Linked DNA regions of Sus scrofa. The protein of the gene in region 1 purifies or fractionates together with the protein of each later gene. This does not show direct contact. Links are inferred from orthologs where the notes say so. Each region holds a gene or a part of one and is shown on either strand. Other genes may lie near its edges.

Region 1 (4,537 bases):
CACACCCGGGAAGGGCCCAGGCAGGGCTGTGCCCATGACCACCGCATCCTGGGAAGCTGCCTTGTAAGCACAGCACGTGGACATGCCAGCCGCCCTGCTTTCTGGGGGCCTGGAAACGCGCAGGACGCTGGCCCCACCCTAAGGAACCCCCCAGTCCCGCAGGATTAAAAGGAGGCAACAGACCCAAAAAACAACAACTACAGTAAGGTCAGGAGACTCTCCTGCCTCAAGCCAGGTTTAAGCCCCAGCCTGGCCCCTGCCCGACCCAGAAGCACGTGGCTGGAGGTGAGCTTCTAGAGGGCAGGGTGGGGGCCAGGTGTCCTGACCCAGGCGGGGCAGGTATCTGGACAGCCATGCCCGGCCCAGGCAAGCAGGAGCAGGCCTGCCTGAGAGCTGCCGGGGTCTGTGAGTCACCAGTGTGACGAGGTGGCAGGTGCTTAGGGAGGCCAGAGGTCTGCTCCCTCCACTGGGTCCTCGCTGCGGCTTCTCTCACCGTGACAGGGGCTCTGGGTGAGAAGCCTTTCCTGGGAGGCAGGGCAGATGGGAGCCCAAGCCCCCTCTGGAGCTGCTGAGCCCACAGCTCAGGGAGTCCCAGGGCAGGGATGGAGCCCTCTCTCCTGCCGCCTCCCCCAGCCCCCAGGGGGTGAAACCGGAACCCCCAGGTTCAAGGTGGGGACACTCTTGCTGGAACATGGTGATCATTTTGGGGTCCTCTTCCAAGGGGGCCCATCTCGGCCCATTAGGCATCCGGGCTCAGGGCCTGGCGGTGTCTGGGGCCTTTGCCCACATGACCGGAGAGCGGCCAGAAGCCGAGAAGCCCTCCGGACACCGCCGCCCTGCTTCTCACCTCCCTTCTCACAGACACCCCCACCCCACCCCCACTCCACGCTGCTGCTACCCGCCCTGTCCACCCCCTCCTGGTCCCGGGCCAGCGTCACTCAGCTGGTCGCTGGACACGCTCTAGGTCACGCTCTCCCCAACCCCCAGCAATCTGACCTGTTGTCGGCCCGACCCCCTCCCTTCCCCAACAGGTCACCTGCCACCGCCCAGAGGCTCAGGCCAACAGACAAGCTTCCGCCCCCCTCGCTCGCTTCTTGAGCATCCCAAGAGTCACGTGGAGGGAACAAAAAACCGGCTGACATCTCCAACAACTAAGCCATTGGTCGCCTCGACGCAGGGCTGGGAGAGCACAAGGTCTGGTCCCTGGGCTAGTTTCCCGCGTACAGCCCCCCCCGCCGCCCCCCCAACAAAATCAAGTGTGAGAGCTGGAGGCGGCTGAGACCGGCGCGGGGCCAGTAAAGGGTGCGATCTAGGTGCGGGCGGTGGATCGAGAGGCCCGAGGCTGCGGGAGCCGACAGGCGCGGCGCGCTGCCAGGGTGCAGGAAGGCAGGGCCCGAGCGGAGAAGGGGGACGGGGGGAGGGATGCCGATTTCGGCTGGGGGCGGGGAAGCCCCTGATAGGCGCGCGGCAGGCGTGATGTCACGTCCGGCGGGGGAAGCCCTGCCTCAGCACCCCCGCCCCCGCCCCCACAGGTGGTGCCGCCGCCCCGGGCGCTGGGCGTGGGGGGCGCGCCCTCCGGGACCCCAGCCGCGGCCCGCGCGCTCCCGGCCACCCAGCTTCCCTCCAGCAGTCGACGGATCGGCGCGAGCCAGGCGGTCCCCCGGGCCCGGGGAGCGGGAGGGGCGCCCGGTGCGCCCCGGATCGCGCCCCCGCGCCGCGCCGCGCCGCGCCCCGCCCCGCCCCGCGCGCCCCGCCCCGCCCCGCGCGCCCCTCCCCGCCCCTCTCCCGGGCCGCCGAGGGGCCGGGCCGGGACTGCGCGCTCGCCCGCCGCGCTCTGGGCCGCCCGAGCGAGCGGCCGGTCCTCGCGCCCCGCGCGCCCCGCGCCCCGCCGCCGCCGGCTTTTGTTGTCTCCTCCTCCCCTGCGGCCGGCGCCTCTGGACCGCGAGCCGAGTGCGCCGGGACCTTGGCTCTGCCCTTCGCGGGCCGGGGCTGCGCGGGCCCGGCCGGGGGCGCCGCCGGCCCCGCCATGGAGCTCCGGGCCCGAGGCTGGTGGCTGCTGTGCGCGGCCGCCGCGCTGGCCGCCTGCGCTCGCGGGGACCCTGCCAGCAAGAGTCGGAGCTGCGGCGAAGTCCGCCAGATCTACGGGGCCAAGGGCTTCAGCCTGAGCGACGTGCCCCAGGCGGAGATCTCGGGTGAGTGACCCGGCGCGCCCGGGGCTCCCCTGCGCCCCCTCCTCTCTCCCGCTCCGCGCTGATCCGCCCCCCGCCGCCCTCCCTCCGCCCAAGTCTCCGCGGCACCTCTCGATGGTCCCCGCGCCCCCAACACGCACCCCGGCCCCTTCCCGGCGGGGCTGTCCTCGCCGGGCAGTGGACCGGGCGGTCCCCAGCTCGGCGCGTCCTCCCGGGCAGGCAGGACTGAGCGGCGGGGCCGGCTGTCGGGGGGCAGCTGGCGGTGGCCACGGGCGACGGACTCCCACCGGCTGTGAGGGCCTCTCCGGGAAGCGCCTCGGGTCGCGCCGGGGGTTCCCGGGGTCTGCAGCTAAGGCAGCCTGGGCGCCGGCGAGGTGGGGAGCGAGCTGGGCGCTGGTGGGGCGGGAGCGGGGGGAGAAGGCGGAGGGGCACGACCTCTGCCACCGGGAGCGGAACGCCGGCTCGCAGGGATCCCTGCCGAGGAACTTGTGCTTGCCTGGCACTCCGGGCGCCTCCGGCGGGGAGTCCAGCTGCAGGTGGTCGGCGCCTTGGATCCCGCCCAGGGGCCATGTCATTTCTTTGTAAGAACATCGCCGTCCCAGGCGGCCTCAGCCCTGCAGCTGCCTGCAGTCCTGCCCACACCCTCCCTGCGGGCCTCTGAGGAGCTTTAGGGACAGAAGCGAGGGGAGGGGGTGGGGCACAGTGTCCTAAGAATTTCTCAAACCCCCCCAGGCTTCTTGCTCAAACTGCAAACATGTCCAGAAGCACACTAGATCTGCGCGTCTGTGCAGGGTGCCTGGGACTCAGTGGACGAGAGCGGACCAGGTTCCTGCCCTGAGGGACTGACTCCTCCCAAACTGGGGGTGGTGGCAGGGCTACCCTCAAGTGGTGACACGGGGGACATGGAATGACCATGGCCACAGGGATTCTGGATGAGAGGAGTGTGAGGGGCAGGTCCATGGCCATGCCTTGCTGGAGAATGGGGGTCGGGGCAGGGGGACAATCAGGCCCTGGACCCCTGCCCCCAGAAGGGCAGAACCCACGGCAGGCGCCTTAAGAGATTCCTGGACAGCCCACTGCCTGAGGCTCCAGAGAAACTTCCTCTCAAGGCCCCCCCCGCGCAGGCCTTCCTGCGCCTCTGCTGACTGAGCCCTGTCTTTAGGGCTGCCACCCTCCCAGGGGACAGGTCTGGTGGGCACATCTGGGTGCCCGAGGCAAGCGTGAGGCCCCCTGCACAGTTCGATTCCTGCCCCTCCCCCACTCAGCCCCACAGAGGAGCTGGGGGACCCCTGGCCTTTCCGGTGAATCTCTCCTGGACCCGGGGGTCTGCGGGCTGCTGAGCAGCTGCCCAGCTGCCCCACCCACCCTGATCTCGGACAGCACTCCCCCAGGGTCCCCTGGACCCCACAGCCCTCCTTCAGACGCCCGCTCCCACTCGGCCCCCTAAACTCGATGGCATCCCCAGGCCTCTGTCCCACTTAGGCTGAGACAGAGCGGCTGAGTTTGGGCGGCCGCCAAGGGCTGGGCTAGAGCAGGGCAGGCTGGAGAAAGTGACGTGGGGCTGGCAGGGACGCTGGGCCCTGGCCCCCTTGGGTTGGAGGGTGCTGCGGGTTAGGGACCCAGGACCAGCGAGACGCTTTGCTGTGGGTGAGATATGGGGGGGCGCGGTGCTGCTCAGCCGGCTGGGAGTTTGGCTGCCCAGCAGTGGCCCAAGCATCACGCCAGCCAGGGCTTCGAGGGCCACACACGCACACACACACACCCCCACCCCAGCCTGGACTGCGCACCGTCCCTGCCCGGGCCCCGTGGCCCCCTCACCCCTGCTCCAGGGGCTTCTGGGGAGCTGCTCTCCCCTCTGGCTGCACCCCCCCCCATGAACAGCTGAATTCGAGAGCACCTTGCCCGGTCCAGGCACCGAGGAGCGGGCCAGCCCCACGTGGGTGAAGGAAGCAGGGTGACCTCCCAGGCAGTGGCCAGTCCCGTGCCCTCCTGCGCTGGGCAGCTCGGCTTGGCCTCCGTGGACGGCGCGCCCTCTGGTGGCCCCGCGGTGGCACACTGCTCTAGGGAGCCCGGCCTCCCCGCCTCGCTGCTGCAGGCCCAGCGGCCGCTCCTCTCCAGCACGGGGACCCCTAGGGGTGGACGCGGGGTGAGAGTCCGGCCTGGGCCAGCTGCGGGGGTGGCGGCTGGGAGGGAGGGCGGCCCTGGTCTCAGGGTGGTCTTTCCACCTCTGCCTGCCCCACGGAGTGGCACCAGGGTGGGCTCATGAAAGACGACCCGTCCCCGCGCGCGGGGCTCCCCTTCAGGACTTGGAGCAGTTTTTTGGATGGCTGGCCAGGCCTGGCGGTGGT
Region 2 (3,804 bases), on another chromosome or scaffold:
TATTTTTTTTAAACTATCTTCCATCATATAGAACTTTTTTTTTCTTTTAGCAGTTACGACGTGATACTGCACTTTCCCTGAATTTTTTTTTTTTTTTTTTGTCTTTTGTCTTTTTTGTTGTTATTGTTGTTGTTATTGTTGCTATTTCTTGGGCCGCTCCCGCGGCATATGGAGGTTCCCAGGCTAGGGGTTGAATCGGAGCTGTAGCCACCGGCCTACGCCAGAGCCACAGCAACGCGGGATCCGAGCCGCGTCTGCAACCTACACCACAGCTCACAGCAACGCCGGATCGTTAACCCACTGAGCAAGGGCAGGGATCGAACCCGCAACCTCGTGGTTCCTAGTCGGATTCGTTAACCACTGCGCCACGACGGGAACTCCCCCTGAATATTTTTTTAATGCTACTTCTCAATTTTATTTTTATTTTTTATTTTTTTACCTTTCCCCCCTGCCACTATACAGCATGGTGACCCAGTTACACATACATGTATACATTCTTTTTTCTCATGTTATCATGTTCCATCATAAGTGACTAGATATAGTTCCCAGTGCTGCACAGCAGGTTCTCATAGCCAGTCCCTTCCAAAGGCAATAGTCTGCATCCATTAATCCCAAGCTCCCAATCCCTCTCACTCCCTCCCCTTCCCCCTTGGCAACCACAAGTCTGTTCGCCAAGTCCATTATTTTCTTTTCTGTGGAAAGGTTCATTTGTGCCATATATTAGATTCCAGATAAAAGTGATATCATATGGTATTTGTCTTTCTCTTTCTCTTTCTGACTTACTTCACAGTATGAGAGTCTCTGATTCCATCCATGTTGCTGCAAATGGGATTATTTTGTTCTTTTTTACCGCTGAGTAGTATTCCACTATGTATATATACCACATTTTCCTAATCCAGTCATCTATCAGTGGACATTTGGATGGATTCTGTGTCTTGGCTATTGTGAATAGTGCTGCAGTGAACATGTGGGTGCATGCGTCTTTTTTAAGGAAAATTTTGTCCGGATATATGCCCAAGAGTGGGATTGCTGGGTCATGTAGTAGTTCTATGTATAGTTTTCTAAGGTACTTCCATACTGTTCTCTATAGTGGTTGTACCAGCTTACATTCCCACCACTAGTGCAGGAGGGTTCCCTTTTCTCCACACCCTCTCCAGCATTTGTTATTTGTGGACTTATTAATGATGGCCATTCTGACTAGTATGAGGTGATATCTCCCCTGAATACCTTAGTATGTATTCCCTACAAATGTTCCCTAGAAACTTTCCACAAGGCATACTACACAGTCACAGTACAACCATCAGAATCAGGAAGTTCATGTTGGTGGCTTCATGGACCTGTCCAGCAATTTCTCTTCCCCTTTGACCCTAGAGAAGAGCATAAACTCTGGAGCAGATTGCCTGGCTTTAGATCTCAGCTCTGTGTCTTAGTTGTCACTCAATCCCTGAATGCCTCAGTTTCTTTCTCATCTATTACAAAGGGTATGAGAATCACCCTTGCCTACTCCACAGGTCATTGTGAGGATTAGAGGGGTTGATGCTTAGATTAGTGGTTTGCATGCCATGAAAGCTATGTCAGTGTAGCTATAATAGTATTAATATTAGAGAAAAGGTAGCTGGCAGTAGAGTGAGTTTTAGAGTATTTTATAGTAGCCATGGACGAGATATCAGCGATCATAGACTACAGAATAAACTACGGATTGTTCAAATAACCCAGAATGTATTTTACTCTTATTTATTTATTGTTCTTCTCTTTTTAGATTTCACAATGACGTCCCTCTTGACTTACACTTTTAAAAGTCTTCCCAGTACATCAAAATGGGCCCTCAGATTTTGTAAGTTGTATTTGTTCTTTCTTTTTAAGATTAGCTTTGGATATGTAAGCGTCTTGCATAGACATGGTATTGTACTGCTTTTTGTAAGCACTTTATTTTGTCTTCCAGCTTTAAGACCTCTGAGCTCTTCCTCCCAGCTGCAAGCTGCCGCAGGTATAGTAATTTGTAAAAGAAACATTTTCTATTTAAATGTTAAATTCTGGAATCTAGATTTGTGAATTTTGAATAAACACCAAAACTAATTTGCTAACTCTCCCCTTTCTATAAGCAACCTGAACATCACTATTGCCTTCAAATTAAAACAGTATAGGACCAATCAATAATAATAGATTATGGTGTAGGGTTGGGCTCAAGGATGTTGGCAGGACTTTGCTTTCTGGGACTTGGAACCTGATGGAGTCACAGAGGTTCCATGAACCTTGCTGGTCAGTTTTCTCAGCTACTGGCTGTCAGCCCTGGAGATGATTAGCTCACAAACCCTCTGGAGACTATTGTGGAGCCCAGAGTTAACTTACTCAACTTCCAGTGACAGGTTTCTCTGTTAATGAGGTCCATGTGCAGAAGGACCTGTACCTGAAGTAGATGTGACCTTGAAACTAGTTAATGAAAGAAGGTTTAGTCAATATGAAATGAAAAAAGGATGGAAATTTGTTGATTTTGTATGGTCTTTTAGACCTTGGTAAACCCAATGAGTTAGACTTCTTCACTATTGAGTACATACTTTTGCAGAACTTGTTGTGGGTATGTGTCTTCAATGGCCAGTGCTAAACACCCTGACAGGTTCATACCATTATTCTCCTTGCCTGGGTCCTATATTGACCTATGATTTTTGAGTTTGGTGTCATTATGGTATTTCTACTTGGATAATAACTTAATAGAGAAAGTGCCTTACCAGGATTCGGAAGATACTACGCTGTTCCAGTTCTACTTCTTGTGGGGCTGTTTGGCCTTCAAGGGATACTTCCCTGTGCTTTAGTTTCTTTGTCTAAAAGAGAATTACAATTTTAGCCTTGTTAACCTCAAGTAAGTATGAATATATTTCAAAGAAGTTTGAAAACTATAAACCCAATATAAGTAAAAGATGGTATTTTTATATTGTTTTACATATAGTATATTTTCAGGGGTCTGTTGCCTAATCACACCTAGAAAAGTTTCATGTTGTCATATAACAAATATATTTTCTGAATTCTCTCAATTCTAACTAGAACGTAGATTAGTATTAACCTTACAACCAATTATTCCCTTCTCATTTCACCTTTTTCCTAATTTTGATGTTTATTCAGATCTTTTGCTTTGAGATCACACAGAGAGATCTGATTCTTGTCAGCTGGGAGATGGTCACATTGAATAGCAACAGAGGGAAGGCATTTTTGCTGGCTTTTGGAATATTCTTCTTTATATTGCTTTTAAACTATTTTTGTGTTTCTGTCTCCTCAACTATATTGTAAGCCTTCGTAAGACACAAGCTCTGGGGTCTAACACTGCCCTCAAGTGATTTGTGTTCATGTTGATGATGATAGTGGTGCAAGAAGATGTGTGATAAGACAGAGGAATGTGACCAGCTGATTTGAGGGGAGGGAGCAGGAGCGGGCATGTGCCCATGCTGAAGAGGTTTAGGTTGCAGTAATTTTATAGCTAATTTCTCTTCAAGCTCATGTGACTACTATACTTGATGGCACTCTTAGGATGAAGGAATTAGAGTGGTACTAATTTTATTGATGTTTTTAGTCATCAGATTGGAAATGTAAGTGAGAGAAATTATGACTTGTTCAGTAGTTATGTCTGTATATACTTTGCATCTTACTTGACTTTCATTCTGATAAACCCATCCTAAGTTGAAAATATTGTAAGTCGAAAATGCATTTAAGGAGTTCCCGTCGTGGCGCAGTGGTTAACGAATCCGACTAGGAACCATGAGGTTGCGGGTTCGATCCCTGCCCTTGCTCAGTGGGTTAACGATCCGGCGTTGC

Evidence for each region.
Region 2: the proteins of GPC1 (region 1) and HADHB purify together in Homo sapiens (co-immunoprecipitation; 3 studies listed by BioGRID and IntAct, counting the BioPlex papers as one, with this or other methods). This does not show direct contact. The link is inferred for Sus scrofa from reciprocal best matches to the Homo sapiens genes GPC1 and HADHB.

Annotation. Positions count from the first base shown.
Region 1 is NC_010457.5:139,456,167-139,460,703, forward strand, and holds the start of GPC1 (glypican-1), read left to right. Parts: upstream 1-1,699; 5' UTR 1,700-2,026; coding exon 2,027-2,192; intron 2,193-4,537. UniProt on the Homo sapiens protein: Cell surface proteoglycan that bears heparan sulfate. Binds, via the heparan sulfate side chains, alpha-4 (V) collagen and participates in Schwann cell myelination.
Region 2 is NC_010445.4:112,742,866-112,746,669, reverse strand, and holds part of HADHB (trifunctional enzyme subunit beta, mitochondrial), read left to right. Parts: intron 1-1,759; 5' UTR 1,760-1,767; coding exon 1,768-1,834; intron 1,835-1,942; coding exon 1,943-1,987; intron 1,988-3,804. UniProt on the Homo sapiens protein: Mitochondrial trifunctional enzyme catalyzes the last three of the four reactions of the mitochondrial beta-oxidation pathway.